Linked DNA regions of Arabidopsis thaliana. The protein of the gene in region 1 interacts with the protein of each later gene in a pairwise test. Each region holds a gene or a part of one and is shown in the gene's direction. Other genes may lie near its edges.

What was found. Proteins that work in one complex are often made in the same cells at the same time.
Region 2: the proteins of TMKL1 (region 1) and GLN1.3 interact in a protein complementation assay, tested with the Arabidopsis thaliana proteins (one large-scale study listed by BioGRID).

The regions. Positions count from the first base shown.
Region 1 is NC_003074.8:9,001,493-9,005,247, forward strand, and holds the start of TMKL1 (transmembrane kinase-like 1), read left to right. Parts: upstream 1-2,076; 5' UTR 2,077-2,148; coding exon 2,149-3,529; intron 3,530-3,615; coding exon 3,616-3,755. UniProt on the Arabidopsis thaliana protein: Does not seem to have conserved a kinase activity.
Region 2 is NC_003074.8:6,095,118-6,098,872, forward strand, and holds the start of GLN1.3 (glutamine synthetase 1.3), read left to right. Parts: upstream 1-2,083; 5' UTR 2,084-2,385; coding exon 2,386-2,459; intron 2,460-2,719; coding exon 2,720-2,759; intron 2,760-2,834; coding exon 2,835-2,938; intron 2,939-3,041; coding exon 3,042-3,090; intron 3,091-3,169; coding exon 3,170-3,276; intron 3,277-3,352; coding exon 3,353-3,440; intron 3,441-3,525; coding exon 3,526-3,729; intron 3,730-3,755. Other genes in the region: PYD1 (pyrimidine 1), read left to right, coding at 1-145, 339-451, 543-726, 813-922, 1,016-1,172.

The DNA.
Region 1 (3,755 bases):
TGTTTACATATGGACATTTTAAGAAGAGTTGTTCCTTACCACTTTGATTCTATCATTTTCTTGTTTATCTAGTTAGCTTGAACCCTTTGTATTATTGAGTAACGAAAATCTTTGGAGGAAAAAAACAAGTGAGGTAGGATTATAATTTTCCTCATATAAGTGTGTTGTTTGTGATACATCATTATTCTTTCTTATTTTTGGTTAAACCCAAAAACTGGACCGCACCTAAGGAATTGAGATATTCAAAAAAACAATGATCTGACCCGTGCCAAATATCCACACCACACCTTTCTCCATTCAGGCCCTACTAGAAAGCCGTGAGACGGTTGACAACTTGAAAACAAAAGACTTATAATGAGACTATGAGAAACAAAAAAGAAAGTGGAGTTGATGAAATAATCTGATCTTATGAAAGTGAAGTTGATTACAAAAGGAGCAGCGTGGTAGTTGAATAGTTTCAGATGTTGATAAAGACGTGACATACATAGTTGTCTCAGTAATCTAATCAAGGACTCCTCATGTTTCTAACTTCTTCTTCTATAAAGTTGCATGAGATTTATATCTGGAGAACATATATTGCTCTAATTATGTGGTCTTATTATCATCAATATATGCCTTTTTCTACATATGAATATATGATCGACATGTATAGATATTTTTTGTTGTTCAAAAAAAAAAAATGTATAGATATTTTTTTCATTTTCCAAAAGGATTGAATTTCGAAATGGTGTAGCCACCTTAGAGGTATACAACAATAAATAATTTTCCCGACTTGTAACAAATGTTTGGAACAAAAGTGTCAATTAGAATCAAAGTAACCATCAGATGCCTTTTATAAATTTCTTTATCTATGATTATTTTTTAACCAAATTCAGACACTTCTATATTACTAAAAGCCAAACTTGATATCTATTTCAACAAAAAAATTTTTTTTTAGTCTGCTGTGACTCAGTATATCTAATTGTTTTCACATCATTCATAAACTTTTACTAGTCCATTGTAAAATACAGTATATTAGAAATTGTTTTCCTATCTATATATGCTTAGGTTTAAGAAAACAACTTTTGGCCATGAATATTTGAGTTTTTAAGTGGTTTTGGATTATAGATTTTGCCAAAAGGAAAAAATATTGATTTAAAATTACAAAAAGAAATCTGCAAACAATTATCAAAAACTCATTAAAGTGGGATTTATTTTTCATTTTGTTTACAAAAATGCGAACTCTAATCTTGATTGGATAATTAAATGGGTTTTTGGAAAACCAATAACTATGCTATAAAGTATAAACTACTACCATTCAAGCCTTCTATTTTTCTATGCCAAAAAATACTACGCAAAAAAAATTGAGCGTGTTTGATCCAACAATAAAACAAATTACTCAATCTTGTTTGATGTCAAAATCCAAATCCAAAATATGTTTCGGACACCTGACCGGTCTACTCGATTGACACCCCTGAAATTTCGAAATAGACAATACACAAAAGGACATAGACAACATAACTTCATCTCACTTAGATATTCACATTTCCCATTTTTCAAAATATTGGCTCTTCATTTTCTGTGTACTTCCAACAAATTGTCTTCTAGAGAAACCAAAACTATCTAAGATTTCTCCACCTTCTCCATCATCCACCGTTGATTCACTCATCTCATGTCTCCAATGACTCATCTACGGTCAAGATTCAAGGAGCATGAAACATCCCATGAACCAAATTACACAAAAACATTTACCTTGATAAAAAAACATCATTTTATTATTTTGGCAGAAGAAAAAGTCTTAATTCGAACTTTGAGCGTGCTTATAGTTTAATCAATTAAAGTTATAAAGAAAAGTAACTTTATAAATTCAGGAGTAATCAGTAGATTTATACCATTCTTGTCCATCGCTTTAAGCCACACTTGATCGGACGGTAAGCAATCAATCCGGTTTACACTTTCTGATTATAAAGATTCCAACTTTTGGTTATATCGGACGGTTAATAATCAATACGGTTTGAGTTTAAATCATAGCCGTTGAGATGTTTGACTAAAGTGTTTACAAAGTAGTCAACACTCTCTTTCTGCTACAAAGGACCAGTCTTGAAACTCAAAGTCCTTACCTTTCCCTTCTCTAACCTCTCTTTCTCTTTCTCTGTCTCTTTGTGAGAAATGGGCATGGAAGCTTTGAGATTTCTTCATGTTATCTTCTTCTTTGTGCTAATTCTTCACTGTCATTGTGGAACATCTCTCTCTGGTTCTTCTGATGTGAAGCTTCTTTTAGGAAAAATCAAGTCTTCACTACAAGGAAACAGTGAGAGCTTACTGTTGTCTTCTTGGAACTCCTCTGTTCCTGTTTGTCAATGGAGAGGTGTAAAATGGGTATTTTCAAATGGGTCTCCTCTTCAATGTAGTGACCTCTCTTCACCACAATGGACTAATACCTCTCTGTTCAACGACTCTTCTCTTCACCTTCTCTCTCTTCAGCTTCCTTCTGCTAATCTCACTGGTTCACTCCCTAGAGAGATTGGTGAGTTCTCTATGCTTCAAAGTGTGTTCCTCAACATCAATTCATTAAGTGGGTCAATCCCTCTTGAGCTTGGTTACACTTCTTCTCTCTCTGATGTTGATTTGAGTGGTAATGCCTTAGCTGGGGTTTTGCCTCCATCGATTTGGAACCTCTGTGATAAGCTTGTCTCTTTCAAGATTCATGGTAATAACTTGTCTGGGGTTTTGCCTGAGCCTGCTTTGCCAAATTCGACTTGTGGTAATCTCCAAGTTCTTGATTTGGGTGGTAATAAGTTCTCAGGTGAGTTTCCTGAGTTTATAACTAGGTTTAAAGGTGTGAAGTCACTTGATCTTTCAAGTAATGTCTTTGAAGGTCTTGTTCCTGAGGGTTTAGGTGTATTAGAGCTAGAAAGTCTCAATCTTTCTCATAATAACTTCAGTGGGATGTTGCCAGATTTTGGTGAGTCAAAGTTTGGAGCAGAATCTTTCGAAGGGAACAGTCCTAGCCTTTGTGGTTTGCCTTTGAAGCCTTGTCTAGGCTCCTCTAGGTTAAGTCCAGGTGCTGTTGCTGGTCTGGTGATTGGTTTAATGTCTGGAGCTGTTGTTGTGGCCTCGTTGTTAATAGGGTATTTGCAGAACAAGAAAAGAAAGAGTAGTATAGAGAGTGAAGATGATTTGGAAGAAGGTGATGAAGAAGATGAAATCGGTGAGAAAGAAGGCGGTGAAGGAAAGTTAGTTGTGTTTCAAGGTGGTGAGAATCTGACGTTGGATGATGTTTTGAATGCTACTGGGCAAGTTATGGAGAAGACTAGCTATGGTACTGTCTATAAAGCTAAGCTTAGTGATGGAGGGAATATTGCATTGAGGCTATTGAGAGAAGGTACTTGCAAGGATAGAAGTTCTTGTCTGCCTGTTATAAGGCAGTTAGGACGCATTCGGCATGAGAATTTGGTTCCCTTGAGAGCTTTCTATCAAGGGAAGAGAGGAGAAAAGCTTCTCATCTATGACTATCTTCCCAACATAAGCTTACATGATTTGTTGCATGGTATTTTCTTTCATCATCAATCTTTTTTGCCATGGATCTTTCTTGGTTGATTTTTGTTATTCATGTGTTGTTTGAATGATGTGCAGAAAGTAAACCTCGAAAGCCAGCTTTGAATTGGGCTAGGAGACACAAGATTGCACTTGGAATAGCGAGGGGACTTGCTTATCTTCATACTGGACAAGAAGTTCCTATCATCCATGGAAATATTAGATCAAAGAACGTGCTT
Region 2 (3,755 bases), 2.9 Mb from region 1:
TCCTCATGGTATGCCAGAGCGCAGAATGGGTGCCGCTGTTGGACAAGATTGTGCGCTTCTCGACGAGGTTTGCGGATGGATTAATGCTAAAGCTACAGTTCCTGTATGGGCTAAGATGACTCCTAATATTACTGACATAACTGAGGTGTGACATCTAATTCTCTCAGCCTTTTTGCTTCCTGGTTTTTCAACCATTTTGTATAAAGCCTATCCTTGTAGAAAATGAAAAAAAAACTTTGATGCAAGTTTATTGAAAAGCTCCCTACTTAAAGCTGAGTTATTGTTACTCTGTTTTGCTCTGCTTTGACCATGTCCGTTTTGCTTTTTCTTTTGAATAGCCTGCTAGGGTGTCACTAAAATCCGGATGTGAAGGAATTGCAGCGATCAATACAATCATGAGTGTAATGGGAATTGATATGAAGACGTTGCGTCCTGAGCCATGCGTTGAAGGGTTAGCTAGATAGCACTTTTATAATGTCAAACGTTTTGGCAAATCTTGTAATGGCATTACAAGAATAGCTAACGTTGATAGTGTTTTGCAGTTACTCCACTCCAGGGGGATACTCTTATAAGGCCGTTCGCCCAATTGCACTGGCAAAAGTTATGAACATTGCCAAAATGATGAAATCTGAGTTTAGTGAGGATCGCTCGCTTTCGGGTATTGGAGGAGTTGAAACTGGCTATGATGCCGCTGAATTCATTCTCCTTGGATCAAATACTGTACAGGTAACTAAACTCAACACTATCCTCACTCTTTTGTTTTAGACTTTATGCCTTGAGAGAAACTTAGTTTTACTGCTTTTTGTTGGAAGGTATGCACCGGTGTGATGATGCACGGCTATGGTCATGTGAAAACCCTTTGCGCTGAGCTGAAAGATTTCATGAAACAACACAACTTCTCTACAATAGAAGAGTTCAGAGGGTATGAACAACTTTCCTTTTAGACTTTTATATCATTCTTTTCGCTTGCTTGGTTGCTTGCTGAGCAAGTTCTTCGTGTTGTTTGTTGGCTTAGGCATTCGCTGCAGTACTTTACAACACACACAGATTTAGTTAAGAGACAGAAAGAAGCAGTTGAGCAGAGAAAAGCTGAGAAGAGAGGCTTGAAATCTGATAAAGATTGGACCGGGGATGGGTTCGTGAAGGAGACTGAGAGTATGGTTTCTAACTAAGTTAGTAGCCTGATGAAGTTATGACCACCCAAATATTTCAATAAAGGTTCAGCAACTTCATTCACAACTCACATGCAAATTACGAAGGCTCTTTCTTTCAAATGTTTAAAATCAACTTCTTAAATCTCACTTGAAAAGAAATAACTAAATTTTATGTTTCTTAATTTTCTTCTCGTTGTGTATTATTCATCTTGTATCCATCCATAGCAACCATTTCTTTGTTACTTCAAGTTGGCTTAAATTTTGGCCAATAATAATACCATAGACCTTCTCCATGAAGCAAGATGTTGCGGTAGTAACCTTTTATTAAGGTGTGATTTGGCTAAAGAAACTTGGTCTTATATCATTAAAATTAGATATTGAACAAAATCAAGTATGAGCTGATAGAACCAAGATTAGTAGGAAGCTAATCAAACAACTCTGGATACATTTACTAGGAAAATATGGTCATGCTTATTTTTATACGCATCATTTGAATCCGAAGAGGGGAAAAAGGCAACAAAACGGGCTTAATGAGAAATTGACTATGGAAGAAATATCAAAAAGCCAAAAGTGGCCACGACTTTCTGCATCGCAATGATACCTATATTAGAAGCTACTTAAAAATTTTAACACAAAAAAGAAAAACATTTAGTTTCCTCCTACCTTACCTACCTACGTTTACGTGATCATCAACAATTCTATTTTTACTAATTTACTCATTAATATATCTTCTAAAGTATACATAAACAAACAAACTGTACGAAGAAATTGAAATATAAATATCAAGGAAATTGGTAGCAGTTGTTGAGTTATTTCAATGATGCTGTGAAGTGGAAACATTTATTACGTAACGCATATCCGTTTTGTATATAAACTCTTATTTTTCGGCTGTATATATAATCTTTTTAGAGATTTTCCGTGAGAAATAGATTAAATATTGTTGCCATAATAACCTGTAATCTCAGGAGAATCCTAACGGAAAAGAGAATATTAGACGATAGTATTATATGGAGTATTAATTACTTATTAACAATTCTAGGAGATAATATCAGCACACAACAATAAAAGAAATTACTAATTTACTGGAATCATGTATTCACCGTAATTATTTAAGGAGAGGAAAAAAAAAATACAAGCTCTTTCTCTATAAACACACACTCTCAGGAGAGAAGTTGTATTGATCGTCTTCTCTTTCCCTAAACACACTGATTATTTTCTCTCCGACGCCGCCATGTCTCTGCTCTCAGATCTCGTTAACCTCAACCTCACCGATGCCACCGGGAAAATCATCGCCGAATACATATGGTTCGATCTCGCTTCTCTCTGTTTCACTTTAACCACAAGTGTCATGTATCGTTCTTTCTTCATATTGCTGCGATCCAAAAGTTTATCTCTTTTGTTATATTGATCTTTTTGCGAGTTTGGGTATGAACATGATTCATTTCATGGAGTGTTTCGTTGTCCTGCTTTGAATTAATACGTGTGTTAAAAACATAAAGCTTGTCTCTTTTTTTTGTCTTCTTGTAGTTTTTTTGAGTTTTTTTGTATGATTGTTGAATAAACAGGATCGGTGGATCTGGAATGGATATCAGAAGCAAAGCCAGGGTATTTGATTTATAAATCTCCCTCATGTGTTTATTTTTCATCCTCTGTTTTCTGATTTGTTTTTGAATGATACAGACACTACCAGGACCAGTGACTGATCCATCAAAGCTTCCCAAGTGGAACTACGACGGATCCAGCACCGGTCAGGCTGCTGGAGAAGACAGTGAAGTCATTCTATAGTACTATGCTCATCCCTCATCTCTATTTATCTATTTGTTGTCTCTATATGAAGTAATTCATATCTTAATCTTGGTCTTGCTTTGTTTGTTAATTAAATAAAAGCCCTCAGGCAATATTCAAGGATCCCTTCAGGAAAGGCAACAACATCCTGGTGGGTTTATTTGATATGATTAGTGTGACAGATTCAACTTGGATATAAATCAGATTATTGATTATTGTGAGATATGCAGGTGATGTGTGATGCTTACACACCAGCTGGTGATCCTATTCCAACCAACAAGAGGCACAACGCTGCTAAGATCTTCAGCCACCCCGACGTTGCCAAGGAGGAGCCTTGGTACACTCTTCTTCTTCTGTTGGTCTCTCTGTATATCTAAATCAGATTCTGATTGTCTCTTTGTGTGATTCAAAAGGTATGGGATTGAGCAAGAATACACTTTGATGCAAAAGGATGTGAACTGGCCAATTGGTTGGCCTGTTGGTGGCTACCCTGGCCCTCAGGTAAAAATCCAGTTACCATTTGATCCTAATGTTTTTAACAACACATTTTTGACATCTGATAAAATGTATTTCGTGGTTGAAACAGGGACCTTACTACTGTGGTGTGGGAGCTGACAAAGCCATTGGTCGTGACATTGTGGATGCTCACTACAAGGCCTGTCTTTACGCCGGTATTGGTATTTCTGGTATCAATGGAGAAGTCATGCCAGGCCAGTGGGAGTTCCAAGTCGGCCCTGTTGAGGGTATTAGTTCTGGTGATCAAGTCTGGGTTGCTCGATACCTTCTCGAGGTATTAATCTGCTTTTAGTCCGGTTC